7 linked regions of the Coturnix japonica genome follow. The protein of the gene in region 7 purifies or fractionates together with the protein of the main gene of each other region. This does not show direct contact. Links are inferred from orthologs where the notes say so. Each region holds a gene or a part of one and is shown on either strand. Other genes may lie near its edges.

Evidence for each region.
Region 1: the proteins of ZZZ3 (region 7) and MBIP purify together in Homo sapiens (affinity purification with mass spectrometry; 4 studies listed by BioGRID and IntAct, counting the BioPlex papers as one, with this or other methods). This does not show direct contact. The link is inferred for Coturnix japonica from reciprocal best matches to the Homo sapiens genes ZZZ3 and MBIP.
Region 2: the proteins of ZZZ3 (region 7) and YEATS2 purify together in Homo sapiens (affinity purification with mass spectrometry; 3 studies listed by BioGRID, with this or other methods). This does not show direct contact. The link is inferred for Coturnix japonica from reciprocal best matches to the Homo sapiens genes ZZZ3 and YEATS2.
Region 3: the proteins of ZZZ3 (region 7) and KAT14 purify together in Homo sapiens (affinity purification with mass spectrometry; 4 studies listed by BioGRID and IntAct, with this or other methods). This does not show direct contact. The link is inferred for Coturnix japonica from reciprocal best matches to the Homo sapiens genes ZZZ3 and KAT14.
Region 4: the proteins of ZZZ3 (region 7) and TADA2A purify together in Homo sapiens (affinity purification with mass spectrometry; 4 studies listed by BioGRID and IntAct, with this or other methods). This does not show direct contact. The link is inferred for Coturnix japonica from reciprocal best matches to the Homo sapiens genes ZZZ3 and TADA2A.
Region 5: the proteins of ZZZ3 (region 7) and TADA3 purify together in Homo sapiens (affinity purification with mass spectrometry; 4 studies listed by BioGRID and IntAct, counting the BioPlex papers as one, with this or other methods). This does not show direct contact. The link is inferred for Coturnix japonica from reciprocal best matches to the Homo sapiens genes ZZZ3 and TADA3.
Region 6: the proteins of ZZZ3 (region 7) and SGF29 purify together in Homo sapiens (affinity purification with mass spectrometry; 7 studies listed by BioGRID and IntAct, counting the BioPlex papers as one, with this or other methods). This does not show direct contact. The link is inferred for Coturnix japonica from reciprocal best matches to the Homo sapiens genes ZZZ3 and SGF29.

The regions. Positions count from the first base shown.
Region 1 is NC_029520.1:33,099,786-33,103,285, reverse strand, and holds part of MBIP (MAP3K12-binding inhibitory protein 1), read left to right. Parts: intron 1-357; coding exon 358-477; intron 478-2,067; coding exon 2,068-2,289; intron 2,290-2,389; coding exon 2,390-2,486; intron 2,487-3,500. UniProt on the Homo sapiens protein: Inhibits the MAP3K12 activity to induce the activation of the JNK/SAPK pathway. Component of the ATAC complex, a complex with histone acetyltransferase activity on histones H3 and H4.
Region 2 is NC_029524.1:686,961-690,460, forward strand, and holds part of YEATS2 (YEATS domain-containing protein 2), read right to left. Parts: intron 1,894-3,500; coding exon 1,786-1,893; intron 703-1,785; coding exon 529-702; intron 1-528. UniProt on the Homo sapiens protein: Chromatin reader component of the ATAC complex, a complex with histone acetyltransferase activity on histones H3 and H4. YEATS2 specifically recognizes and binds histone H3 crotonylated at 'Lys-27' (H3K27cr).
Region 3 is NC_029518.1:13,436,109-13,440,124, reverse strand, and holds the start of KAT14 (cysteine-rich protein 2-binding protein), read left to right. Parts: upstream 1-1,216; 5' UTR 1,217-1,477; coding exon 1,478-1,733; intron 1,734-2,276; coding exon 2,277-2,395; intron 2,396-3,847; coding exon 3,848-3,969; intron 3,970-4,016. Other genes in the region: protein PET117 homolog, mitochondrial, read left to right, coding at 770-865, 1,067-1,216. UniProt on the Homo sapiens protein: Component of the ATAC complex, a complex with histone acetyltransferase activity on histones H3 and H4. May function as a scaffold for the ATAC complex to promote ATAC complex stability. Has also weak histone acetyltransferase activity toward histone H4.
Region 4 is NC_029534.1:7,297,266-7,301,352, forward strand, and holds the start of TADA2A (transcriptional adapter 2-alpha), read left to right. Parts: upstream 1-1,287; 5' UTR 1,288-1,380; intron 1,381-1,566; exon of another isoform or gene 1,567-1,590; intron 1,591-2,051; 5' UTR 2,052-2,250; coding exon 2,251-2,275; intron 2,276-2,979; coding exon 2,980-3,086; intron 3,087-4,006; coding exon 4,007-4,066; intron 4,067-4,087. UniProt on the Homo sapiens protein: Component of the ATAC complex, a complex with histone acetyltransferase activity on histones H3 and H4. Required for the function of some acidic activation domains, which activate transcription from a distant site. Binds double-stranded DNA.
Region 5 is NC_029527.1:9,002,121-9,006,117, reverse strand, and holds TADA3 (transcriptional adapter 3), read left to right. Parts: upstream 1-1,197; 5' UTR 1,198-1,307; coding exon 1,308-1,514; intron 1,515-1,622; coding exon 1,623-1,873; intron 1,874-2,000; coding exon 2,001-2,106; intron 2,107-2,294; coding exon 2,295-2,436; intron 2,437-2,556; coding exon 2,557-2,660; intron 2,661-2,743; coding exon 2,744-2,853; intron 2,854-2,937; coding exon 2,938-3,123; intron 3,124-3,190; coding exon 3,191-3,383; 3' UTR 3,384-3,802; downstream 3,803-3,997. Other genes in the region: ARPC4 (actin-related protein 2/3 complex subunit 4), read right to left, coding at 64-159, 233-344, 497-615, 743-745. UniProt on the Homo sapiens protein: Functions as a component of the PCAF complex. The PCAF complex is capable of efficiently acetylating histones in a nucleosomal context. The PCAF complex could be considered as the human version of the yeast SAGA complex.
Region 6 is NC_029530.1:7,882,920-7,887,213, reverse strand, and holds the start of SGF29 (SAGA-associated factor 29), read left to right. Parts: upstream 1-1,494; 5' UTR 1,495-1,550; coding exon 1,551-1,625; intron 1,626-1,819; coding exon 1,820-1,895; intron 1,896-2,104; coding exon 2,105-2,177; intron 2,178-2,416; coding exon 2,417-2,481; intron 2,482-2,660; coding exon 2,661-2,790; intron 2,791-3,188; coding exon 3,189-3,335; intron 3,336-3,574; coding exon 3,575-3,610; intron 3,611-4,029; coding exon 4,030-4,192; intron 4,193-4,279; coding exon 4,280-4,294. Other genes in the region: melanotransferrin-like, read left to right, coding at 191-377, 1,036-1,076. UniProt on the Homo sapiens protein: Chromatin reader component of some histone acetyltransferase (HAT) SAGA-type complexes like the TFTC-HAT, ATAC or STAGA complexes.
Region 7 is NC_029523.1:16,801,520-16,805,019, forward strand, and holds part of ZZZ3 (ZZ-type zinc finger-containing protein 3), read left to right. Parts: intron 1-1,614; coding exon 1,615-1,749; intron 1,750-1,867; coding exon of another isoform or gene 1,868-1,948; exon of another isoform or gene 1,949-2,286; intron 2,287-3,500.

The sequences.
Region 1 (3,500 bases), on a different chromosome or scaffold from region 7:
CTATTATCTGTTAAAGAAAATATTTGAGTGATTAACATAAGCTGTATGCTCAAGCACAGTGGTTAATTGAATAGAGAACTTACCAAAGTTTAAGGTCAAATTAATACAGTGAGTGTGTTTAGATAGTTAGGATTTTCTAATTTTTTAACATATTCTACTAATACTATCTTCGAAAGTGATGGCTACTTGAATTATAATTAATGTCAAATCTATTCTATATCCTCACATAAAGGTGGGGTCTGCATGAGATTGAGCATAATTGCTGTCCTGTAGGTGCCCTGTTTGCTTTTCTGATGTTAATACGGCATAATGTACTGGTTGTTTTTTTATTGTGGTGTTTGTTCTTCCCCGTGGAAGCTTAACCTTGGAGATGATGTCGTGAAAGTTGTAATCGACTGGAGCAAGCTTCAGAGCACATCAGCACTTCAGCCAACATTGCTCTTTAGTGCACTTCAGCAGCATATTTTATGTCTGCAGGTAAATATTACATTGGACACCTTCAACTTGACTAAAGTGGTCAACAACCGAATGTAGCCACATTACCTAAACTGAAAAATTTTAGTTGTTTTGATCTTACTGCTATGTTCAACAAAAAAGAGTCCACTAGTATTATACACTTGAAATCCTGGTATGCTTCATAGGTACCTGCACTTACAGATTTTTTGGGTTAATGGTGGGAATAGCCACTGTAGGTGAGCAGGCTGAATAAATGCAGCCTCATTGATTTCTAGACTTGCATTGTAAATGTGATACATTTCCATCTATGGTGGGTTATAATTAAGCAATAAGACACGGCAGGTGTGTGTCATGCTATGATAATGATTCCATGCGTTGGGTGAGTTTTGAGGCTCATGGAGTGCTTTCAGTGGTTCAAGAAGTGGCATTATCCCAGCACGACACATCCTGGAGTGTCTTACTGCAATTAAATATATTTTCAGCGTAGATTTTTTTGTTTTTTTTAAAGAGTAATTTCTTTGACATTAACGTCTCATCCTGCCAAGTAGCCAGTCACTATTACTGTCATTTCTTTTAGCTATGTGAAACTTTCCAACCCTGTCAAAAGTAGCTATAATTTTGTTGCATGGTGGTATCAGCTGGTATCTGAGAGTGTTTTGACTTTGATAGCTGGTACGTAAAAGGTGGGAATTTGAATATCCATTTTCCCTTCAGCGAGTCAACAAATTATTTCAAGAGTGCAGTTCTGAGACAGCGAAAAATAAATAAAGTTTCTGTACTTGCTTGTCTGCAGGCATAGGAAAATCCCTTTGTGTTTCCCAGATAAGCAATATCTTTCTTGGAATAAACACAAAGAGAAAACAAGCCAGATATAAACAAGGAAAAATTACTTGTGGTATAATTACTTGGATTTCTGGAGGGAAAACTGAAGTAAATTTAGTTAGGTTGAAACTGGTAAAAACAAAAATGAGGATTTGTGACTTTATATATACAGATGTATATACACCAAGGTTTTGTTTTTACGTCTTGTGGAAGAGTTACTGCAGTAGAATAATAAGCTTTTATTTTGCTGCTACAAATGTTAGTGTGCATTCTCTCATTTAATTTCATGACCTAAGTAGATAATCAGCCATGTCAAGAAAAGCATGTGTTCTGGATAATACCAATATATTTCATGTCTGTTTTCTCTCATTCACTTGGGCAACTGCAGTTTCAAGTGGAGAATGTAGAGCTCTGCTGATAAGGTAAAGGCTTTACAGTGTGAAAGCATTGGCTTTCGTGTTAAGAAGGAAGAACACTAAGCCTTACAGTTCTGAGTAGGCATTTGAATGACATGGTAGTTAAGTGGCACTGGTGCCAATGATAGAAGCTTTTGATTTAGCTACTAACACGTGAGTAACTGATTTAATTTTTCTCAGAAATTTCGGAGTTTTCCTGTACAAATTGTTAAAATATTTTTATTTTTTTTAAATTACCATCCACTGTAGGAAGCAAATGTTTCATTTCCTAAAAGTCGGTCTGTTTTAGAGTTTATAGTAGTTCTTAGCCTTTTCCATTTGCTTCCATCCCCCCCCCACCCCGCAACCCTAATGTACTGTTTTCTTTGTTCAGCCTCTTTTAGAAAAACTCCAGCCACTGATTAAAGAGGAAAGTGTAAGTCACGTTGAACCTGCAGGTAAAACAGAAGACCAAAGTTGTGAAACAAGTTTAAATGTTTATGATAGTAACTCTCAGACTGAAGAAAAGTATGCAAATTATGACTTGGGAGATCTGAAGGATGCGCATACTAATTTTGATCCAGAGGTGGTCCAAATAAAAGCTGGAAAAGCAGAAGTAAGTGTTTCCCTGTATTAGAAAAAAAGATCTTTTTTCTTTCTAAATTTTAAATATAACTAATGAAATAGATATATGCCATCATGTTTGTTACCTACAGATTGACAGGCGGATATCAGCCTTCATCAAGAGGAAACAAGCTGAGATCAATGAAAATAATGTCAGGGAATTTTGCAATGTTATTGATTGTAATCAAGGTAACTGGCTAGCCAGATTTTAATCTTCATTGCAATCTAAGTTTGTTTGTTTTTTAATTAAAAAAAAAAAAGTATTTTTAAGAGTAGCTTTAAAAAAAAAATGTTAAGAGGATGCACATGCTCTGCAGATGTTGCCAGTCAGACCAAGGTGGAAAACAGGAAAAAATAAAAAGGAAATGCTTAATGGATTCTATACGGAAAGCCTACAGCTCTTACTGTGACCAGATTATCTTTATAGCTGTTGTTCTCGATGTTTTAGCTAGATATTCCTCCCAATATTAACAGAATTGCAATTCATATATGTCTTGGGAATTGCATATTTAAATCGAGGTTAATTTAATGCTGGCTGAATTACAAAGAAATATATCTGTAATCAGTTTTAATTATGAGCTACTTAGAATAACTATTTTATTTCAACATAACTCACACTGTTGCTATTTTTAATATACCACCTGGCACAACTGACTGTATATGTAACCAGTCTTAAATCCATCTGGTAGACTGGATCCCATTAGTACAACTAGTGGCTGTGTTACCAGCAAAGACATTTTTATATACATAAGTAGGAAAGAGGCATAGATTTTCCTATGTAACTGTGAACCCCCATATGCACTGTCTTTGAAGTGCTTCATACTGTTAGAGATTAAAGCTTATTTTTCCATAAGTTTCACAGAGAATTTACATAGGAGACACTGTCTGGTAAAATATATGATATTGCTTCCTAAAACTTAATTAAGTTACTGAAGAAATGACAAGTCATTCTTTTGTATGTTCAGCCATAAGAAAATATTTGTAGAGCTTTGGTGTATTTATATTTAAATAGAAACATTAGAATAAACCGAGATGGGCTGTACTGACAGGCTTTATGTCTAAGCCAATTAAAGCAGCCACAGGCATCAGAGTAAATGCAGGAAGGTGAAAAAAGGATGCTGATCAGTAAACCAGAGCTGTCTAAAAATAGGAGGAAAGGACATAAAACAGCACAAGTGTGCAAGGAAGAAACTTCCGTGCAGG
Region 2 (3,500 bases), on a different chromosome or scaffold from region 7:
ACCACAGCACATTTACTATGTCTCCCAAGAAGCTGCATCACCCCTGCCATAGCAGTTCTGTAACCACTTGTGTAGCACCACTTCTACTGTATTCTAGCTCTGGACCAGCCTTCACCCCTTCTCCCTGTTTGTCCTGCTTTTTTTTTTGCTGCAAGCCTGCTGTCCAAGTAAAGAATTTACTTCCTTTTATGGAGAAATGTGGATGAGCTTCAGCAAAAGCTGGTAACAGCAGCCAACTTTCTGGGTTGTCAGGATCCAGTTCAAAACAAGCCTCCTCCTCACTGCTGCAAAGGGCTAGAGAGGAGTGGGAAATGTTTTCTGTAAGCAATGAAATGCAACAGTGTCTGCGTGTGCTGTTCACAAGGGCAAGAGGTAAGCACACTATGAGCTAACTCTGTACACAGGGAAACTAGCTACCTAGGGTACTGCTGCCTGTGCCTGAGGCACAACCAACACCACGGCCACAGGAGAAACATGAGGTGTTACAAGGCAAGACAGAAGGCTGACAGCCAACCAAGTGCCTCATACCTTGGACTGTGCTGTCCCCTCGCTCGTGCTCACAGCTGGCTTCTGCGGTGACAAGGCCAACATGTGGCTTCCTTTTACCGTGACATACTGCTGCACAGAGGTCTGTGTGGTCAGCCCTGCTGCCGACGCCTGGGGTTGCTGGGGCAGCTCTCCTGGCTCCTGTTTTATTATCACCTTTTAAGTAACATAATAAAGTTGACATAAAACAAAAACCAAAAAGCCAATAACTAAGTCACTGGGAATCATTTCCGGAACAGCCTGCCTGCAAGAACAGGCACACAACAGCTGCTAACTCGGATGTGGTTCTCATATACCACCAGGTGAACTCTAACTCACCTCCCAATCTACTACGAGGGCTACTCCCAACATGCAAGCGTGTGAGGGGGTCAGTAATTAAGCCAGCATTCCCATTTTGAAAGATGCTTACAGAAAGGAAGAAACACAGACAGTACCAGTAGTATTATAACTACTAGTCCTACTAATGGTATCCCGCATCTCAGAAAGGAGACAGAACACCATGAGGTTTCAAATACCAAAGAACCTCCCAGCCCAAAACGTCCTTTTTTTTCTACCTTGCAAAATCATAATTGACATTATGGCCGTAGATATTGTAACCAGGTATAGATACTGTAACTGGTTAAAGATTATATTATTCTCTTGTGTACATTTCAACATGGTTATGAATTTATCTGGGACAAGCCATAAATCTAAGCACTAAGACCAGCAACTTAAGAAAGGCTGCTGGTTTGGCAGGTGTCTTTTTCCCCACCAGACTGCTATGACTGGTAGGACTCTTTCACCTTCCAGTTTGATCACCCAGTATTACTGGAACCCTTCAATTCAGGATGGTAACTTTTAAGGAAACGTACTCACAAATGGCAACATCTGACAGCCAGAAATCACCACAGCATTTAGCAAGAAACTATTACAAAATGTAAGAGTAAACTACTGTTTACTTATATTGTAACCTCACCAAACAAAGCCTTTAAAAATATCAGCTTCAGTACAGTAGTGACTCAAAAGGAGAACAAGAAAGGATGAAAGAGATGATGAAAGGAAAAGATCACAGGAACAGCAGTGCCATGGGAAAAGAATTTAAGCTTCATCTTTTGAGACGTGCTAGAGAGCTCCTGGCAGCGAAACACACTGGTTCCAGTCAGCTCTACATGCACTGGAAGTTACATGGTTTGCAGCACAAGTCAGCATGAAATGGTAATACCAGGCTCCTTGTCCAGGCACAAACGCCAAGAGGAATACCTTTGTAAAAGCTCCAAGTCCTCCAGTGACTGATTTGGGGCTTTGCACCTTGGAATGACTCCCAATAGGACAAAGAGGTGGCATGGTGGCAAACAGGGAATCCTCCTGCTGCAAATAGGAAGATGTGGCACAAAGATTGGTGAAACGTCCAACAAAAGCAATAAAACAAGAGATTGCTAATAGTGGGTGGCACAGACAATCTGGGCAATTCCAAATTACCTGTACAAATAAATCCATTTCCAAAAATCAAGCAACACTTAAGTAACAGGAACGTAGCATACTTAGTACAACATACAAAGCAAATTTCTTTGTCAATTTATGCCTCCAACAGCAGTAACTGTTTCCTACCACATCATACACAAATGAAAGAAACAGACAGGTCGTCCACCAGCTTCTTACACAAAGCATTTCTGAGCTGCAATACTGAGGCAGGCATATGTTAGCCTTGAGAAGCCAAGTCTGAGTGGGCATCTAATCAATGGACACAAATAACTGATGGGAGGGTGAGAACATGACCGAGTCAGACAGTGTTCAATAATGTGCAATGAAAGGACAAGAATCAATGAGCACAAACTAGAACACAACACATTCTGTTTAAACATAAGTAGTGATTGAATTTTGGAACAAGTTGCCTAGAGAGGCTGTGGACTCTCCAGCACTGGAGGTACTCAATACCCAACTGGACATCTGCAAAATGGTGCATCTTTCATTCTTGAATTTGCAGCTGTAGAGTCAAATGCACTTGAGGAATTATGGAATGGTTATATTCTGTTTAATTAAAAGAACTGTACTATTTTAAGATCAGTGTGAAGTCTGTGGTTGTGGTTTCATGACCATTTAGTCCATCCCTGGGTTGGAACACAGCCCTCAAGATGCTGAATCAGTACTCCTGCCTTCCTTGTGCCAATGCATACAGATGAAAACAGCTGATCTTTCAAACAGATGGACTGTGTAGCTACATGGTGAGCAAGAGCAAACCACTGCCAGCAAACAGGAGGAGGTGTGAAGACAAGGTTAGAGGCATGGCCAGCCCTTTTAAGAGCAGCACACATATGGACCACTTTTAAAGTGACTGAAGAAATGCAAGTGTAAGTCATTGGAACACCATCTGTAACATCACACTGAACTATCAGACACCCTCCCCTCTTAAAGAAACCACAAAATTACAACTTCCCACTAACCAGAAGACATATGGACAGAAATACAGCTGTTTACAGCGCTCAGATTTCTTTTTTGGTTGTTGTTTTTTTTTAATGCTGTCAGATTTTAACTGAATCCAACAGAATTCAACTGTTACAATGATATGTGCCCATTCTGACTCATTTAAAACCTTACAAAAAAGAAAAGCCTCAAACCAGTACAAAACAATTGCTTTATAACAGTTAAGCAAAACCCATCTGACAGACAGGCTCTTGGAAGCAGAACAGCCAGCCAGCACCTGACATTTAAAGTGCTCCAAACTAATCGCTTCACAGATCCATCTTCAACACATTTTTCTTAACAGATGTGGGAAGCACTTCAGTTCCAAATGTGAAACAATAAGCTTCCTGCAAGCTCACTGGAAAACCTTCCCCTCCACAACCAACATTAAGGCTCCTGAGTCATGAAGACAGGAAACAGCTCCCATGAGCAGCAGCAGCTGCTCTCAGAAAGGCCCCACTGGTGCTACTTGCCTGTCAGAAATACCTCTCCCATGTCTTACGCAAGAAAGGGTT
Region 3 (4,016 bases), on a different chromosome or scaffold from region 7:
CAAAACTATTATACTAAATTGAAATGCTATCATTTTCACTAATTTTACCTTTCACTTTAATCACGTTTGTTCAGCAGACAGATGAAGAAGATTACAACAAGGAAGGACTGGCTTTATGCATTCAGTTTTCCTGTTCTACACAGGGGATGTGCCCTGGCCACCTCCTCACAGCGAAGGTCCATCACCAAAGCTGACTATGGCGCAGCACCTCCACGCTCTACTTGGAAATAGATTAACCTGTTTTAGGGGAGTATCCAACCTGAACTTCCCCTGGTGCAACTTGAGGCCATTCCCTCTCATCCCATTGCTATTAGCTGCGATAAGAAGCCAACCCCCACCTCAGCACAGCCTCCATCCAGGCAGGTGTAGGCAGCAATAACATCACCCCTGAGTCTCCTCCAGAATGAACAATCCCAGTTCTCTCTGTAAGCCTTGTGCTTCAGACCCCTCACAGCTTTATTGCCCTTCTCTGGGCACACTCCAGGGCCTCAGTATCTTTCCTGTAGTGAGAGGCCCAGCACTGACCACAAAGCCTCACCAGAGCTGAGTACAGGGGCTCGAACACCGCCCTGCTCCCACTGCTATACCATTACACGGCTCCATTGCCGTTCTCGTCCTTCCTCTGCTCAGGGCTGCGGCTGCTCGACGCGCTCAGCGCTCTGCAGGGCGGGCCGCTCTTCCCCCTCACAGCCTGTCCCGCCTTTCCCCGCGTTGTGCCGTTGGTTGCGGCTCGGTCGGTTCCCGGCCGTGCGGTGTGTGGTGCCCGGCGATGTCCAGGAGCTCCCGGGCGGTGCTGGTTGTCACCGCGCTCCTCTCCGCCGCCACCATCGCGGCCGTGCACGTCCAGCAGCGGCGGGAGCGTGAGGTGAGTGAGGGCGGGCGGGCAGGCCCGGAGCCGTGTGGTGCCCTCTGGTCTGTTGGCTTATTATTAGCGCTGTCAGATGCAAGGTACAGCTTGGGAGTGAAGGGCTTAATGTAAACAGGTCTTCAGCTGGCCTCACAGAGGTGGTTTACTAGCTTTATTAATCAAACAGGCAGTGATGAACCCTGTCCCTTGTGCTTCCAGAGGCTGCACAGCGGTGTGCTCAGAGATCTGGAGAGACAGAGTCAGAAAAGGGAAAACATTCGCCTGCTGGAAGAGCAGATCGCTTTGACGAAGCGGCTTACGGAAGAAAGAGACAAGATGCTGGTGGAAAAGGGATCCCAGCAGCCCTAGGTGGGACCTGACTTGTTAGAGGTTTGATTCGAGGCACTTGGGACAATTGAATTCTAATTACTTTCAAGTATTTCAGTAAACAGACATCACCTGTGAAAGACTGTTTATTTCAGACACATTATATTCCTGTACCAGAAGCCATAGGGCACAGCAGAATATTTCTTCCATCACTAGTACTTGTGGAGACTTGACACAGCCAGTGTGGATGGACGTGTGAATGTAGGGAGGACAGGCTCCTTGTGCTGCTGTAGGCCATGAAGGATGGCTAATAACGTCCACATGAGCGGGCTGCTGAGCCGACACGATGATGAAGCCACGAGGACTTCGACGTCGGAGGGTCTGGAGGAGGGTGAGGTGGAAGGGGAAACCCTTCTGATTGTAGAGTCTGAGGACCAGGCCTCGGTGGATTTATCCCACGACCAGAGCGGAGACTCACTGAACAGCGATGAAGGTGATGTGTCCTGGATGGAGGAGATGTCCTACTACTGCGAGAAGTGCCAGAAGTGGATTCCAGCAAGTAAGAGGGCTGGCTTTGCTGTTTCTTGTTTTCTGATAATGTGAGTTTAGTTGAGCTTTTGCAGAAGCGTGTCCAACCTGTAGCATCTGGCACTGGGGGGTGCTTGGAGTAAGCTAGATAACTTGATTCCTTTGCTGTTGCTGCTTGACATAAGATGTATGGTGCTAGCTAAAAAACAGGCTTTACTTTTGAAATTCTGGACAGCTGGAATTTGGAATGGACACATTATTAGATCCAAAACCTAAGTGTTGCTAAGCACTGCTTTTTGTTGTTGTTTTGTTATCGATTTGCTGTTGTGTTTTTATTTCTGTGTTTAGAATCATGGAACTCTTCAGTTGACATCTGCTTTGCAGCTGCATCGGGGCTGCCCTTATTGCCATCCTAAAACTCGCCACAAGTTTAGTGTAGAAATGTTGCAAGGCATGGTGTGAGCATTGCTAATAATACAGTAGAGCCAGCACAGTACTGTTAAAATGATGCTACATTGCAGCTTTCCTTCACGTGAAAGGGCTGAAAGTTTGATCTTTTGTCTGTTGGTTTTAGGTCAACTGAGAGAACAGCTCAGCTACCTCAAAGGAGATAACTTTTTCAGATTTACTTGCTCTGATTGCTCAGAAGATGGGAAAGAACAATTTGAACGGCTGAGATTAACTTGGCAACAAGTAAGTACCTTGTTTGTGCCAGGAAAACGTGCCAGCACTTTATAGAATTGTTGTTTGTTATGTATTCATTACCTAGAAAAGGAGGATTGGATATAGATGACAAACATGAGTGAACTTCAGAAATTAATTAGTTGAGAATTGCCTGCAGATTAGAGCTTGAGTATTTGGCAAGTAAGTGGCAAGATAATCACACAAACCACATTCCTCTCCTTTTTCGCTCCTCATTCATGTTGCTCATGAATTGCATGGCTTCAGGCGAATGTGGAAAAGCAAAATGCAATGTAGCTTCTAGGCACGAACAGTTTTTTGTATATAGGAGTGAATGCAAAGCTAGCGAGGTGGCAGCACGCAAACAGAAAGCTTGCCAGTTCCCTGAATGCAAAGCTCTAACTTGGCTGCTTGCTTACTAACAGTAGTTGTTGCTGGATTCTGCAAGTCCAGTCACTTACACGCCTGCGCGATCAAAATATTCTGCATTATACGGCAGCCACTGCGTGGGTAGAGTGATGCGTGTGTTGCTCCCAGGAGGGTGCAGGTGCTGCTCCTTTGGGGTACGTTGAATTGAGGGAAGTGAGCAAACCTGTCTGAAGTATGGAATTGATTCTGCATAATTAACAGTTGGTCATCTGGGATTTACTCACAAAGAGATGTGGTTCTTTCCAAACCTTTCCAATAGTTGGTTGGACTGAATTAGGCTGTAAAGCATGTAGAAGTGCTGTAATGGATTTTTTCAATGAAGGTCAATTCTGAGAGCATCATTTGCAGGCCAGTAACGAGTGGTGTCCCCCAGGGGTCTGTCTTGGGGCTGGTGCTCTTCAACATCTTTATCAGGCAGGGTGCTTGGAACTTGGAGATCCTTGGGGTCCCTCGCAGCCCAAGCCATTCTGTGATTTGGAGACAAACGTAATTGCCGCATACCAAGAAATATTAGTAGATGACATGTGATTTCTACATAGTTTAACCTGCGTTCAGTTTGGTACGCAACGGTAACTATCTGGGAAGACTCTGATTGCTATGTTTCTGATGAATAAGGTGGTGGGATTGCTCATCACAATTCTTTTTGTCTTTGAAAAAGACTATTTAGACTTCCACGCTGCATTCAGGTCCCAGTTGCGATATGATCAGTTTTTCCCACTCTGCAGAAGTTTGTGTTTCTTCATAAACCTGCATAATTAGGCAGCTTTTATTCTCCTACGGTGGTCAAATCTTGGTGGGGGGAAAAGACAGAAGAATTTTCATTTAACGATAGAGAGATGAGGAAAGACAGCATGAAAGAGAAAGAGAGATGAGGAAAGACAGCATGAAAGAGAAAGATTGCAGAAATTGCTTAAGAGGTGTTGCAAAAATAAGATATTTATGAGGCTGCAAAGGTGTGTGTGTGCATGGCATCATAAGGCAGCTCACCAGGAGAAGCAGAAAAGGTGCACTGGTTTCCATTGCTTTCTGTTCCAGGTTGTCATGCTGGCAATGTACAATTTGTCTCTGGAAGGAACTGGCCGTCAGGGGTACTTCAGATGGAAAGAAGATATCTGTGCTTTTATTGAGAAACACTGGACTTTCTTATTAGGAAACAGGTAAAGATATGCTGTGTCCTGGTGAGATGAATGAATTAAAACTGGTG
Region 4 (4,087 bases), on a different chromosome or scaffold from region 7:
TGCTGCAGGCTTTAGAGAAACACTGTTTTTACCTAAAAAATGCATCATCTTCTTCCTCACCACTTACTGGGAACAGCAGATTGAACATCAGCAGCTTAAACAACCACAGCTTCAACTGCTGCAGACTGAAACCAGACTTAACATCAGAAGCAACATTTACCTGGTTAGGAGCAATGGCATCAATTCACTGTGAAACGAGGTGCTGTGAAGACACCCACATGCTGATTCCTTCCATTAACTACCTGGATTCATGCTTTAATTCCCAGATACTTGACAGACCTGTTGGCATAAGCAATAAATATTTCATTGACATTCCAAAGTCTGCCTCCCTCAACTATTTATTTTTTACACGCTCATTTAGGGCCTGGGAAGAAGGAAAAATAAATCGCTTCCAATATTTCTGGTCTCCTTAAACAGCTCAGAGCATACATGTATTGAACTCATCCTACAACAGCAGACTTCCACCTCCCCCAGCCTCAAAGGAATAATATGGATATTCACTGTGAGCTTTAGGTCTGAGGTGGTTTCCATGTGCTCACACAGACTGAATCTCTACTTTATTCCCTGTTTAATATCTCAATGCCATCTTCACCTTCCAGATATGAACTGCCAAAGGCTGCATCTGTCTGTTAGAGAACAGCTCTCACCTTCAGCTCCCATGCAAGGGATTAAACACTTCAGAATCTGTAGGACTGAATGGGAACAACCTGTGAGCCTCAGAACACGTCCCTCTAGCACTGCATGTCATCTGAACCACCATCACAGCTGCCGAGCTGCACACAAAATGGGACATCAGCAGCAGGCCAGCAGCAGAATCATAGAATCATAGGATCACCAAGGTTGGAAAAGACCTAAAAGATCATCCAGTCCAACCGTTCACTTGTTACCAACAGCTCCCACTAAACCATGTCCCTCAACACAACATCCTTTAACACCCCCAGGGTCAATGACTCCACCACCTCCCTGTGCATCCATTCCAGTGCCTGACCACCCTTTCTGAGCAGTAATACCTCGTAGTGTCCAGCCTGAATCTCCCCTGTCGCAGCTTGAAGCCATTCCCTCTGGTCCTATCACTAATGGGGACGAGGTGACAGCCCTCAGGGGGGGACCAGCACACAGAGGGCAGCAGTCAGAGCCTCGGCCAGAAGAGCAGCTCTAAAGGACGCACAATTAAATTCATAACACGTCCTCAATCGCTGTGTGTGCGCTGCAGGCCCAGCACAACGCCGCTGCCCGGCACTGACACCGTCCCGCAGCATCGCCCCGGGCTCTGAGGGCGGAGCGGGCCGGGGCCGCGCACGTACAACGCCTCAGCGCACGCGCACGGCGGTGACGCGGCCTCGCGAAGGCCGTGACGCGCGGGAACTGCCCCGGCGTGAGGTGAGAGGCGGCGGGGCGCGGCCCGACAGCGGCCAGAGGGAAGTCGGGAGCGAAGCACGGCGGGGAGGAGCCGGATCCGGGGCGGGGGAGATGGAAACTGCGGCGGAGAGGAAAAGGGAGCGGGAGGACGGGCGGCAGCGCGATCCCGCCGCTCACCTCACGGCCTGGAGAGGGGGCGGGGACACGGGGCGGGAAGGGCGCCGCCTTCCGGTGAGGGGAGGACGGTGCTGCAGAGCGGGGCGGGGGCGCCGTGTGGGAGCGCAGGGAGCAGCGCCCGTCAGAATTAATAGCAAAGTGCCCAAATGTGCCTGACACAGACAGTCCGCCCCCGGGTTCCCGGTACCGCCATCACTTGTGTCACTGTCTGCTGGGGCCTTGGGGTGTGTCCCCATAGAATCACAGAATGACCTGGGTTGGAAGGGACCTCAAGGATCATGAAGTTCCAGCCCCCCTGCCTGGCAGGGCCACCACTTCACCCCTTCAGAATCACAGAATCATTCAGTCCCAAAAGACCTCCAAGATCCCCCACCCACCCACACTGACCGCGTCCCTCAGCCCCACATCCCCACATCTGGAACACCTGAAGGGATGGTGCCCCCCCCCCCCCCCCCCCCATAGTGCCGGCAGCTGANATTGCTCTAATAAAGAAATTATTCCTCATACCCAACCAGACCTTTCCAGCACAACGAGAAGCCATCACCTCTCACCCAGCAGGGGCAGCAGGGCCTGACCCCACCTCAGTCCCTGTGACAGGCTGCTCACTGTTCTCCACTCAAAGATGCTGTGAGGATTTCAGCCACCTCTCCAGCCCACAACACCACTTTGGACACAGTGATCTGCATTTGGGGCAGCCCGTGTTCCAGGGAGAGGATGGAGCGCCTGGCCTCCTTCGGCAGTGAGTACCACAGTGCTGCAGGGAGGTGTTCACCATGGTCTGAACTGGGGAGGGAGACAGCAACAGAAGCATCTGATCCATCAAATCCTCGGCTGCATGAGGACGGGAATGATTTGGAGGCCATTCAGATCTTGTTTGTCTGCTTTTCACTACTTAAATTGCATTTAAAAACAAATATGGCTTAAGACAGTATTTAGACTATTTTGCAGTGAACAACATAAGAACTTGCAGAGCAGTGTCGCACTCCTTGTTCAGCAGCCTGAGGTTTGGGCAGGTTACAGAACAATCGAGCCAATGCCTTTGCAACCACAGCAATATGCTTTTTGAGTCAGACAGGGAGGATGGATGGGAGAGTGCTGCTGTCTGTGCAATATTCTCCATAAAGCCTTGGGTCCCTGGGCACTGAGTCAAGTCAGACAGCTCACACAGCTGCCATCACTGCTGAGCAGCACCAGACAGCTGCTGCAGAGCTGTTCCTTGATTCCAGTGTGATCGAACAAGTTGCCCTCAATTGACCAGGTCCATAGCAAAGTTTAAATGCCAATATCTGTCTTAGAACTCCAGCTCAGGAATGAACTTTTATCAGTAGGGAAGAGGTTGCATACAGCTGAGTTTGTTTTGAATTGCTGGACACGAGTGAATTTGGGTGATTGCAAAAGCAGTGCCACATTTGTGTTGCATGAGATTTACATCTGGCTTTGCAGATGACCCCTTCGATAAACCTCCATGCAGAGGTTGCTCTTCGTACCTCATCGAGCCCTACGTGAAGTGTGCGGAGTGTGGGCCTCCTCCCTTCCTCCTGTGCTTGCAGGTGAGTGCAAGGATGAAAGCAAAGACATTCATTTCTCTGAGAAACTCATCAAAGGCTGTCCAGTGCCATGCCGCTCCATAAACACATTAATAACAGGTCTCCATAAACTCATATCAACACAGTTATTTGCTCAGGGAGAGGAAAATGACAAAGAAAATATGAGAGGCTGAAGAACTGAGACATGAGCAGCTGAGCAAGGTCTTTGTGAAGGCAGCCAGAGCTTGCCAAAGGCCTGACTGTAACACAGCATGCCACTGCACGTCTGCAGAAGTATTGTTTCTGTCACTTTGATGGCACAGAAAAGAAAATCCATCAAAAAACACCCTCTCCCTGTCCCTTTTCAGCTTTCTTTTCTTTTTTTAACCTCCCAAATGGAAAAGAAAATCAGCAGGAAGTTTGCAATATAGACAATAATTCTGACCAGATAATAGTTATTTACAAATTGTACGTGTGATCAGATCACCACAGAAAGGATTGTTTTAATTATTTATGACTAAAAAATGGCAACAACTTCTAATACCAAAAAGGGAGCTTTATCAAAACTCCAAAAGGAAACTGCACTTTCAATACTGCAGAATGCTCTGTGCTCCCTTCCAGGAATGACACATAACATAGCACCAAGTTTCTTATCCTGCCTATCTTGGCTATAAATACCTAACAAAAAGCATGGAGCTGCACACGAGTTGGGTCTTGGTGTACAAGACCAGAATACCACACAGCCTCAAAGTTATAACACAAATTGTTCTGCCATTACACGTTTTTTTCTGATTTCACATCAGAAAAAGCAGATGCTGTTTTCAGCATATCAGGCGGTCACTTTTGGATAAGCAGTAGTCAGAGAATGTAAGGGGGGAAAAATGCCAGTCACAATGTTTTCAGGGCAGAAGAGAGTAACATAATGCTCATCTTTCGTTCTGCAGTGTTTCACACGAGGATTTGAGTACAAGAAACACCAAAGTGATCACACTTACGAGATAATGGTAAATATTCCTTTTGGGTTA
Region 5 (3,997 bases), on a different chromosome or scaffold from region 7:
GGGAGTGCAGCACAGTGATGGTGCAGTCCAGATCTGCGCTGTGGGTCCCTGGGACTCCCTCACCTCTACGGGCTTCCTGCGTAGGATGAAGAAGTTCTCAGCCCTCATCATCATGAAGCGCATGAACTTATGGCACAGGATCTTCTCGATCTCATCGGCCTGCAGACACAAAAGGGAAACGAGGTTCCTCACACTCTCACAAGCTCCCAGCCCCCATCCAGCCCATCCCCACCTGTTTGACAGCGATGCTGACGCGCACGGAGTTGATGGAGCCCTCGATCAGCACCTTCTCCTTCTCGTTCCTGCTGATGATCACGGGCTGCAGCAGCAGCTCCTTGCTGCTCCTGGGGGAGCAAAGGAAGGTCAGCATGGAACCGCTCGGTGCCTGCAGGCACAGTGCGGGCAGTGTCCGTGTGTCCGTGTGTCTATCCCCATTGACACACAGTGCGGGCAGTGTCCGTGTCCATCCCCATTGACACACATTACAGCCCCGTACCTGACCTCCACCTCGGGCTTGTTGTGCCGTTCCACCACCTGCGACGAGAAGTTCTCGAGGCACAGCGCGGCCTGCAGCGTGGCGCGCACCGCGTTCAGGTACGGGCGGAGCGTGGCGGTCTGAGGGGCACGGCACAGTCACGGACCGGGACCGGGCCCACCCCAGCCCCGTCCCCCCCTATCCCCGTACCCACATCCACCCCCATCCCCCGCCCCGTTCTCCCGCCCCGTTCCCTCCCGCTCCCACCATGGTGTCGGCTCCGGTCCGGTCCGTGGAAGCGGAACCGGAAGTGGCCGGCTGTCTCTTCCTGGATGCTCGGGAGGGCCCAACCCGCAGCTGTGTGGGGGCGCTCTGTTCTCTCTCCGTTCCCGTTCCGTTCCCCGTTCCGTCCCGTCCCCCCACACCGTGTATATGTATATATGTGTATATATGTGTATCTGTGTGTATATCCGGCCGGTCACGGGGCGCGGCTGCAGCGCCTGGAGGCGGCGGCGAAACCCCGCGAGATTCGACCCCCCCCGCGATCCCGCCGCTCTTGGTACGCTCCGTACGGCGCTTCCATATTAGGAAAGGAAGAAGGAGAGACGAGCGAACCAATCGGCTGCGTGCACCGGGCGGGGCCGAGCCAATGGGGAGAGAGGGGCGGGGCGAAGCGGCGGGGGCCGGAAGTAGCCGAGCGGCCCAATGTAAACCCGGCCCCCCCCGGCCCTGCCCCCTGCCCGCCCCCCGCCGGGACCCGCCGAGCTCCGGGCGGCACCGAGAGACCGGACAACAGGCTTCTATCGCCGCCCGGTTCCGACCCGGTGCCGCCATGAGCGAGCTGAAGGACTGCCCGCTGCAGTTCCACGACTTCAAGTCTGTGGACCACGTGAAGGTGTGCCCGCGGTACACGGCCGTGCTGGCCCGGTCCGAGGACGATGGTATCGGGATCGAGGAGCTGGACACGCTGCAGCTCGAGCTGGAGACGCTGCTGTCCTCAGCCAGCCGCAGACTGCGGGTACTGGAGGCAGAGACACAGGTGTGGGATGTGGAACATGGAACGTGTAACGTGTAACGTGTCCGTGTTGTGACCCCCCACCCCATCACCGCCCCACACACGACCCTACACGTTATTCCTCTATTCCAGATCCTGACGGACTGGCAGGACAAAAAGGGCGACCGGCGCTTCCTGAAGCTGAGCAAGGAACACGACGTGGGCACCTCCGTCAAACACGGCAAGCCCAAGAAGCAGAAGCTGGAGGGTAAAGGGGGGCACGGGACGGGGCCTGGGCCCGGCAGGCCTAAGTCTAAAAACCTGCAGCCCAAGATCCAGGAGTACGAGTTCCAGGATGACCCCATCGATGTGCCGAGGATCCCTAAAAACGATGCTCCGAACAGGTGAATGGGGAGATGGGGGTGTTGGGGTTGGATGTTTCCTTCCTTGTAGTGCAGGAGATCACGAGCTGCTCTCAAAGTGTCCATCACAGCTCCCCATCACCATCATTCCTCTGCTCTGGCCTCGCAGGTTCTGGGCATCAGTGGAGCCGTACTGCGCCGATCTCACCAATGAGGAGGTCAGGGTCCTGGAGGAGCTGCTCAAACCGCCAGAGGACGAGGCTGAGCACTACAAGGTGACAAGCTGCAGAGCCCCCAGCCCATGCTCTCTCACCCCATACTCTGCCCTGCACTGTCCATCCCTGGGCAGGCTAAGAACTCACACCCCACTGTGAACATTGTGCGTGTCCTCTGGGGTGGTGCTGACCCACGGGCTCCTCAGCACAACCCCAGCCCTGTGCTGATGGCCCATCCTGTGCTGCAGATCCCACCGCTGGGGAAGCACTACTCACAGCGCTGGGCTCAGGAGGACCTGCTGGAGGAGCAGAAGGATGGAGCCCGGGCAGCGGCTGCGGCTGACAAAAAGAAGGGTGTTCTGGGACCACTGACCGAGCTGGACACCAAAGGTGCTGTCCCATCCCCTATCTGTGATGGACTGCACTGAAGCTGTGTGGTGAGACCAGGGGGCTGGCATCCAGCTCCCACAGAACCGGGGCTGCTCACAACTGTCTCCTGCATCCCCTCAGATGTCGACGCCTTGCTGAAGAAGTCAGAGGCCCAGCACGAGCAGCCTGAGGATGGATGTCCCTTTGGACCCCTGACACAGCGTCTCCTGCAGGCCCTGGTGGAGGTGAGGGAGCTCAGGTCTGTGCAGTGGCCCTGCGAGGTGCTGCCAGGGCGAGGTGAACCTTTCCCATGTGCTCTGCTTGCCAGGAAAACATCATCTCCCCTGTGGAAGACTCGCCCATCCCCGACATCGCTGGCAAGGACTCAGGAGCCGATGGCGCTGGCACTTCTCCACGCAGCCAGAACAAGCCCTTCAGGTGAGCTGCTGCAGTGCTGCCTGCTGCTTTCCCTGTGCAAATCGGGGCAGAACGCTTAGGAAGCATCCGCTTTACTCTTCACAGCGTGCCCCACACCAAGTCGCTGGAGGGGCGGATCAAGGAGGAGCTGGTGGCTCAGGGCCTGCTGGAGTCTGAGGACCGTCCCGCCGAGGACTCGGAGGATGAGGTCCTGGCTGAGCTGCGCAAGAGGCAGGCGGAGCTGAAGGCGCTCAGCGCCCACAACCGCGCCAAGAAGCACGAGCTGCTGCGGTGAGTGCGGGCAGGGCATGGGGCCGGCTGAGCACCAGCAGCATCCACTGATGTTCTGTGTCCCCAGGTTGGCCAAGGAGGAGCTGCACCGGCAGGAGCTGCGGCAGCGCGTCCGCATGGCCGACAACGAGGTGATGGACGCCTTCCGTAAGATCATGGCGGCCAGGCAGAAGAAGCGCACCCCCACCAAGAAGGAGAAGGACCAGGCGTGGAAGACGCTGAAGGAGCGTGAGAGCATCCTCAAGCTGCTGGATGGGTAGCGGGGGGACAGGACTGGGCTGCACAACGCTGCCATCATCCCTTTATTTCACGGACTGGAGGCGCTGTGAGCACAGGAGCTTCCCGGCTGTACCTGTGCTCTGCCTGGATCGCTGCGGGTCGGGACGGGGTGCACGGGGCTGGGTCCTGCTCCTGGCCCAACCCGCAGCCACCGAACCGCAGGGACTGGGCGAGAGCATCCCTGGAGCAGCCATAGCCGCCCTCTGGTTTCCGCTGCCGCGGTTATTCTGGGCAATGGAGCTGTGCCAGGACACGGCTGGGAGCCGGGCCGGGCCTCGTTAGCGCCGGGAACAGCCGGGGACAGCGGCGGGGAGCGGGACGGGGCTGTACCGTGTGTTGTGCGGTGAGGGCAATAAAGGAGCATTGGCACTGCCGGTGTGCCGTGCGGTGCTGGGGGCTGCGGGGTTGTGCTGGTGTCGGTACCGTCCCATGTCTCCATTCCCGCCCCTCGCTCTGTCCCCGTCATTCTCTGCCCCTCCGCGGCCCGCGGTCACGCGTGGGCACTGACCGCCCGCTGCCCCCATTGGCTGAGCGGGGGGCAGGTCCCGCCCCCCCGCCGTGACGTCATTGCTGCCCGGCGGCGCCGCGCCAGGAG
Region 6 (4,294 bases), on a different chromosome or scaffold from region 7:
ACTCTCCAAAGGCCATTGGTTGCCATTATACTTCTGAGAAATAACCCACTCCAAAGCCATATCTTGTTGTATAACTGGATGAAAGTAGATCTGTGTTTTGTTTTCTTGTTAGATCTTGTTATAAAACTGATGGTCACCAACATAACGTTGTTATTTGTAGTCCAAACTGTGGAACTTCTTTTCTGTTTAGGAATTTCTGGGGACCAAGCTGGATTCTGAATTCCAGCTCTTTCACTCACAAAAATATGGTGAAAGTGATCTGCTTTTCAAAGATGCTACTCAGTCCCTTGTTCCTGCAACTCACATGAGCTATCGGGAAATCCTTGGAGAACCTTTCTTTCAGCTGGCAGAGTCAGTGTTTAATTGTACACCTGCAGGTAAAGTCAAATTCTTCATTCTGAATTAGAGAAAAATGCAAAGCAGAGGGAAGTTTTGTGTGCACAGGCACGGCCCTCTGGTTTATGCCAACTTCAGAGGTAATTTCTACATAACCTTGTTAGTGGAGTGTAATATCTGGAGTGTTGAGAACTCTTGCAGCTCCTATCTGTAAGCACTGCAAATGGGGGTCTGTGGGGATGATACAACCAATGCAGGTCAGAGCAAATATAAAGTTATTGAAGTGGAATTGTCTTCCACTCAGAAACTTGTTCTTCCTATCCCAGAGGTCTGGGTATGTCAGGGTTAGGGGAAATAACTCTGTTTCTGATAGAAGACTGCACTAAAAACTACACCAGAGTTAAAGATCTCATTGTACTTAAATGAGAGTTTGTTCACTACTATATACTGAAAGCTATTTTGTATTTAGTTCTGACTAAAACTAAATGAAACTGCTTATCAGTCAGGGCTGAGCTTGTTAGGGGCCCTGGGGATCTGTGCTGAAGTAGCTGCAGCTTGCACAATGGATTAGGAAGTTTAATAGCTGTTAGAGGACTGAAAGTCAACAAGGGAATACCAGCACTGTTGTGTTGTAGTGAACAGCAGCAACTTTCAGGGCCGATCACATCTTTAAGGCCATGTTCTCCTATTGGTTTGCAGGCATCTTGGACTTCTGCAGACAGGACACCTGTGCTCATTGATCTGACAGCTGCTTTGCAAGGCAAGAGCCGCCACCAATGTGAGAACAAGGAAATCAGTCTAGTCCTGCCTGTCTGCAAGGAAACCGTCACCCCCGGCCATGTATGCTGATTATCTTTTATCATAACCTTTGTTTTCTGCAGCAAGTAGATGTTGTTTATGGTCATGTAATACTGCTCCCGTGTCGTGCCGTTCCCGTTTGCAGCAGGGGTCGATCTGTACCATCCCTTCATTGGGGTCGATCTGTACCATCCCTTCATTGGGGTCGATCTGACCCATCCCTTCATTGGGGCGCAGCGCTGCCGTGACCGGCTCCGTTCAGCGCCGAACTCGTTTCTTACGTCGGTGCTGCCTCCGTGTGGCCAAAGCGCGGAACTGCACCGGGACGCATGCGCAGTGCGATGTGCGGGCTGACGCACAGTGCTCTGTGTCGCCTGACGCATGCGCAGAGCGCCCCGCGGCCCGTCGGTGCGGCCATGGCGCTGGTGTCGGCCGACTCGCGGATCGCGGAGCTGCTGTCCGAGCTGCAGCGGCTGCTGGGGCACACGCAGGTGCGGGGCTGGACGCACAGAGCGAGCGGGGCGCTGCTCTGCCGCACCGACACCATCGGGCCGCTCTGGGGGCGGTGCGGGGCTGTAGGGTGCTGGTTCGGGGCGGCGCTTTGTCGCACGGGTCCGGATTTGGGCTGTGGGGCTGGAGGTGGGGTGGTGGTGCGGGCAGCCCCCGTCATCCCGCTGCATTGCAGGAGGAGCGGTCCCGCAGCGAGCACAACCTCATCAACATCCAGAAGACGCACGAGAGGATGCAGACCGAGAATAAGAGTGAGAGCGGGGCCGGGCCGAGGGGCGGCGTGAAGGGGGATGAGGGGGCAGGGCTGGGAGGAGAGCAGGGCAATGGGGAGGGGAAGGGGTTCAGAGAGGAGTGTTGGGCAGGGGCAGCTTTGGGGCCGGGCTCGGGAACGGGGCGGGGTTTGGGGACAGCGTGTTCGATGGGGACTTGGTTTCACAGCGTTCTTACCTCCCCCCTCCAGTCTCGCCGTATTACCGCACGAAGCTGCGCGGGCTGTACACCACCGCCAAGGCAGATGCTGAGGCCGAGTGCAAGTAGGGCGGCCCCTTCATACCCACATCCCCATACCCTACACCCTTACCAACCCTACACCCTTACCAACCCTACACCCTTACCAACCCTACACCCTTACCAACCTTACACCCTTACCAACCTTACACCCCACCAACCCTACAGCCCACCAACCCTACACCCCCACCAACCCTGCACCCCACCAACCCTACACCCTGCCCCGTGCCCCCCATACATGACAGCTGCCCTTATGGCTCTGCAGCATCCTGCGCAAGGCGCTGGACAAGATCGCTGAGATCAAGTCTCTGCTGGAAGAGCGCCGCATTGGTACGTGCCTCCATTGAGCCCCCAAGTGTCCCTGACCCCCACGTGTCCCTGACCTCTCTTTTTCTATTTTTACACCCCAAATCCCTGGAATTACGCCCAAATCTCCCTCTGTATGCCCCCCCCCACAACTGCCCTCCCAATCTTGGTGTCACTGTGTCCACCCCCCCACTGTGTCACAGCTGCCAAGATCGCAGGGATCTACAGTGACGCGGAGCCGCCGCGCAAGACGATGCGTCGTGGCGTGCTGATGACACTGCTGCAGCAGTCAGCCATGACGCTGCCGCTCTGGATCGGCAAGCCAGGTGACAAGTAGGTATTCCCGACCCCACAAGTGCACTCTTCCCCACAGGGTGCCCTAAACTCCCAGACCCACACTCCATCATACCCCACATTGTGCCCTGAGCTCCCAGTTCCACTGGAGTTCTGGTTCTGGACTCAGATTCCAAAGCACGGCCCTAACCCCATGCCTGACATTTGGATCCATAGCAAATCTCAGCCCCACCCTGGGAAACCCAACCCCATCCAGACCCCATCCTGACCGTGCCCTCACCCTTCCTCCCCTCTCCCCCCATCAAACCCCAGGCCCTGTTCCCTGACCCCTGTTGTGGATTGCCAACACCCCCCTGACTGCACTGCAGAACCCCAAACCCCAGCCCAGCCTCACCCTCTAACTCCCACCCACCAACCCACCCCCACCTCATTCTCAGGCCCCCCCCACTGTGCGGTGCCATGCCGGCAGCTGGGGACTACGTGGCCAAGCCTGGGGACAAAGTGGCGGCACGTGTCAAGGCCGTGGACGGCGATGAGCAGTGGATCCTGGCGGAGGTGGTCAGCTACAGCCATGCTGCCAACAAGTGCGTGGAGGGGGCAAGGGGGCGGCAGGTTGGGTGTGGAGGGGAGCAGGAATATGTGTGTGTTGGGGGGGGTTTGAGTGGGGCCGGGGGGGCAGTTTGGGCACTTTGGGGGTGTGGGGCATGGTGTGGAGCACTGCACTTGTTGCTTGTGGGGCCGTGGTGTGCTCTGGGATCGCAGCATTTCCCCTTGTTTTGCTGTAGTTCAGTCCTTTCTCCTTTCTCGCTTCTCCCCACCCCAGGTATGAAGTGGACGACATCGATGAGGAGGGCAAAGAGTGAGCACCCCCACTCCACAACTGCCCTCTCTAACCCCACAGCTGCCCCCGCTCTCAGGCAGCCCCCAGCCTCCTCTCCAAGCCCTCCCAATCCCTCCAACTCCCTCCTTATCACCCCCTAACTCTTCCTAACTCCCTCCAAACCTCCTCAAACCCCACAGAACACCCCAACTCCCCACAGCCCCCCTCCCCATGTCCCCCACGCTCCCAGTTCTCCACAGAACTCTTCTTGCTCTCACCAAATCTTCCCAGATCCCCTCGGCGCACCCCCCCAGACCCCTCTAGCTCCTCCCGAACTCCCTCCCCATACCCGCCACACCACAAAGCCCTTCTCAACCCCTGCCCCCAAACCTGCTCTCCACACCCCTCATCTCCCCCATCCCCAGCCCGTACCCATTGCTTGCTCCTCCCTTCTGCAGGAGACACACGCTCAGCCGGCGCCGTGTGATCCCTCTGCCACAGTGGAAGGCCAACCCTGAGACCGACCCCGAAGCGCTGTTCCAGCGCGAGCAGCTGGTGCTGGCACTTTACCCACAGACCACCTGCTTCTACCGTGCCCTCATCCATGCACCCCCGCAGCGGGTACGGCCACATTTTGCCCTGGAGATGGGCCCTGCCGTGCCCCCAGCTCTCACTCATTACTGATGCTGTTTTCTGCCCCGCACACAGCCGCAGGATGACTAC
Region 7 (3,500 bases):
TCTCAGGGAAAAATGCAGTGCATTGGCGTGGTCAAGAAGATATTTGGTCTAGCTAGAAAATTATAGGGAAAGTTTTCTCTGAGTTCTTCACAACAGAAGTACCAGGTGATGTTTTCTTGTAAAAACAAAAGATTTTGTCTGGACGTTACCAGCTGATTGACATAACCATTCCTCAAACACCCTTATAGTGTGAATTAATTATTCTCCAGTGAAGACCCTCTGTTATCAAAAGATAGAGTTTAACTTTCAGTTAAAATTACTTCATCGTGTGAATGGTCTAATTATTCTAGAATACAATGTACTAATCCAGAATCAAGTGTCCACACAAGGAGTTGTTGTATTTTATTCAATATGTGATTATATTATTCCAGGCATTATTTCTTAGTGAAACTTATATTTGCATAAAAGGTCGTTATTATTATTATTATTATTATTATTATTATTATTATTATTATTATTATTATTATTATTATTATTATTATTATTTTATGGGGAAAAAGTGGAGTTTATCACAACAAAATGTAATTGTGTCATTTAACCTTGTTGAGGTTTTTTTCAGGGCATTTGCAGTCTAGACTTTAAATATTTTAAGAATTACAATTAAATATTTGATATGACCCTTAGAAAAATACTTAACACTAAGAGCATGCCTTTTTCATTAAATAATGCAGAGATTTCAAGCTTCATAGATTTTTAAAAGGGAATTGAAATAATGTGTGTAGGCTACATTCAGAGAACTATTACTTGTAGTTCTTTGTTGTAACTGAACGAGCCTACTAGTTATAGCCCATACATATGGACTGTGCATCTTTGAAGATATCTGACATCTACCAAGTACAGCTGCTGCAATTAAATAGCCATCTTGAAGTAGACGTCTGAATTAGATTGAGAATTTCTGTCTTCTCATAGCAAACAGGTCTTCAATCTTTGCTAAGAAAATTGGATGAGAAAAATCAGAAATTGTTTTTTATTTAAAAAGAGAATTTTGTGTTATAAGTCTTTGTCAAAGTTTTATGGGATATAAATTGGTTTTGTAATTTAGGAAAATAAAAATCCATTTTCTCAAGCTGTTAAAAGGCAGCATGAGGTTAAGGAAATTAGGAGTGGTCACAAGATGAAATAACTTGAAAAATTCTGCTCTTATCATCATGGAATGATATTTCTCAACACTTTTTATTCTTACAGGTAAAGGTGAGAATCTAATACTGTTAAGATTGGCTTTATTGATTGAAAAGTACATATCACTAAAGCTTGGTACTGTCTTGATATATGGGTCTTTTAAAAATATAAATGTAGGATTTAACAATATAAATATAGATCTTACAGTTAGGCACTGCTGTCTTCTTTACCCTACAGCAAATCTGTTCACCAGAAGAAACTTGTTTGCATGGTAACATTTTGGTATAATGCAAATAATTATTAATTGCAGAAAATAAAATGTAAGTTAGTTGTTTGTACTTATTTGCTCTGTTTTTAAGTATAATTTCCCAGTTTCTCTCAGAATACATTGCCAGCTTTTTCTCAGAAGATAGTTATACTTAGTGCTTTGTGAAATATATCTCTCTAGTTACATTCCTAAAGTAAATAGTATTTCTCTTTTTTAACCATGAACAGGATGAAGAGAGTATTCCAATAACATATCGTGAGTTACCTGAATACAAAGAACTGTTAGAGTTTAAAAAATTGAAGAGACAGAAACTACAGCAGATGCATGCAGAGAGTGGATTTGTGCAGCATGTGGGATTCAAGGTAAGCTGATGCTCTGCACTCTGCCGAGTGAAGAAGTTTTCAAAGATAACGTGGTTGGAATTTCCTAAAAAGGCTTTGTTTAGTTCGCCAACTGTGGTTTTATGATTCTTGTTCACAGTGTCTGCTTTTCCTCATCTTTAATCAGAACAACCCAGGTAATTCACTCCTTCCAATTCCTCAGGTTTCACAGAATATGTAGAATGCTGTATGAAAATTAATAAGCATGCTAACTTTTCCTCATTTATAGAATGAAAATTCAACTCTACAGATAGGTTATATCACTACAGAATTCTATTTTGGCATTGCACTCTGTCTTGCCAGTGATTCCCTGAAAATAATTCTCCGATTTTTGGAGATCTTTTTCCTTCACCTCAGGCCAAGGAAAGGACAGTGTGAGTGTGACTGTTTTAATTGGTTTTCACTACAGAGAAAAGGTAGCAGCTTCTTATTCCTGTCAAGTAATGCTTGCAGAAGTTGAAACAGTTTTGTAAGATAATGTTTATGTGAAATTAAAAAAATAAACTCACTGTTAAAATACTGTGTTGTCCCAGTGTCAGCCATGTCATGCACCATATGAAAGAAAAGACATTCTCTAGATAAGCTTTTCTGGTTTGCAGGGTTTTTGTTGTGACTGTTTGCTATGTTGGAACAGCTTCTTCATCTTATTAAAAGCATTAGGCCAGCTACATTTATTTTCTGCTAACCATCTATATAAGAATGCAAAAATTTACAGTTTAAAGTTCAGTTCAAAACAACTGGAATATTGAGGTAGCCTCATTAGTTGACACCGACAGACTTAATGGTGTTGTTAGGTTGCCAAGGCTTCCTCCTCTCTCCGCTCTCTCCTTCAGTTACTGTTTTTGTTCCAAAAGATACATTAAAACTTTGGTCAGGTAGAGCAGCCTTCTAAGCAACAAACTAAGTCCTTTCTTCTGCATTATGTTTTATATGAAATAATACTGAAAAGTAAATTGGCATTATATACTGTCAAGCATTAAAAGTTTGAAAGTTTCTTTGCAACTCCAGTTTGATTTTATTATGCAGTATAGTCTATGAAATTACATCATTATATGCAGTTTTCCCTCAGGAGTGCTGCCTTGCTTAGTGTACAGGCTGGACAATAGTCACCTAGTAAACATCTCTTCAGAACACTTAGCTCTGCATGGCCTTCAACTTCATTTAGAACACATTATTTGATTTCTACTTTGAATATTGAATTATTGAATCACATGTGATTATTATGGCTTTTGTTGCTTTAATATCAAAATACTTTGCAAATAGTATTTTTTTTTAAATAAAATGAGAGGTATGGTATTATTTCTGATTCACGGATGGGCAAGATATTGGAGCACAGAAGGGCTAAGGGTTTCCATTTTTTTGGCTCTGAACTTGGGACAACTGAAACTGGATTTTTTATTTTTTATTATAATAGAGTATTATATTGAATTCTGTATTTTCTGAGAAAAGCCCTAACTATGCTTACAACTTCTTCCTTATTAGCCCTCACACTGTGAAAGATGTCTTTGTGAAGGTGTGGGATACAGCTGTGACAAAGTTTCTTAGTAAGGTGTTCAGAACCCTGAGTCGATGGTTTGTGCTCAGGGGCAAATTACTGTGCAAGTGAGTTTCACAGGTGGTGCCCAAAGCTCTCTCAGAGCTCTTCATGTCCTGAAGGAAGGAGAATAAGCTATATGGACACAAGCTTGTTTCCACATTTTTCTTTCCTTTTCTGTCCTGTCCCTGCAGCACTC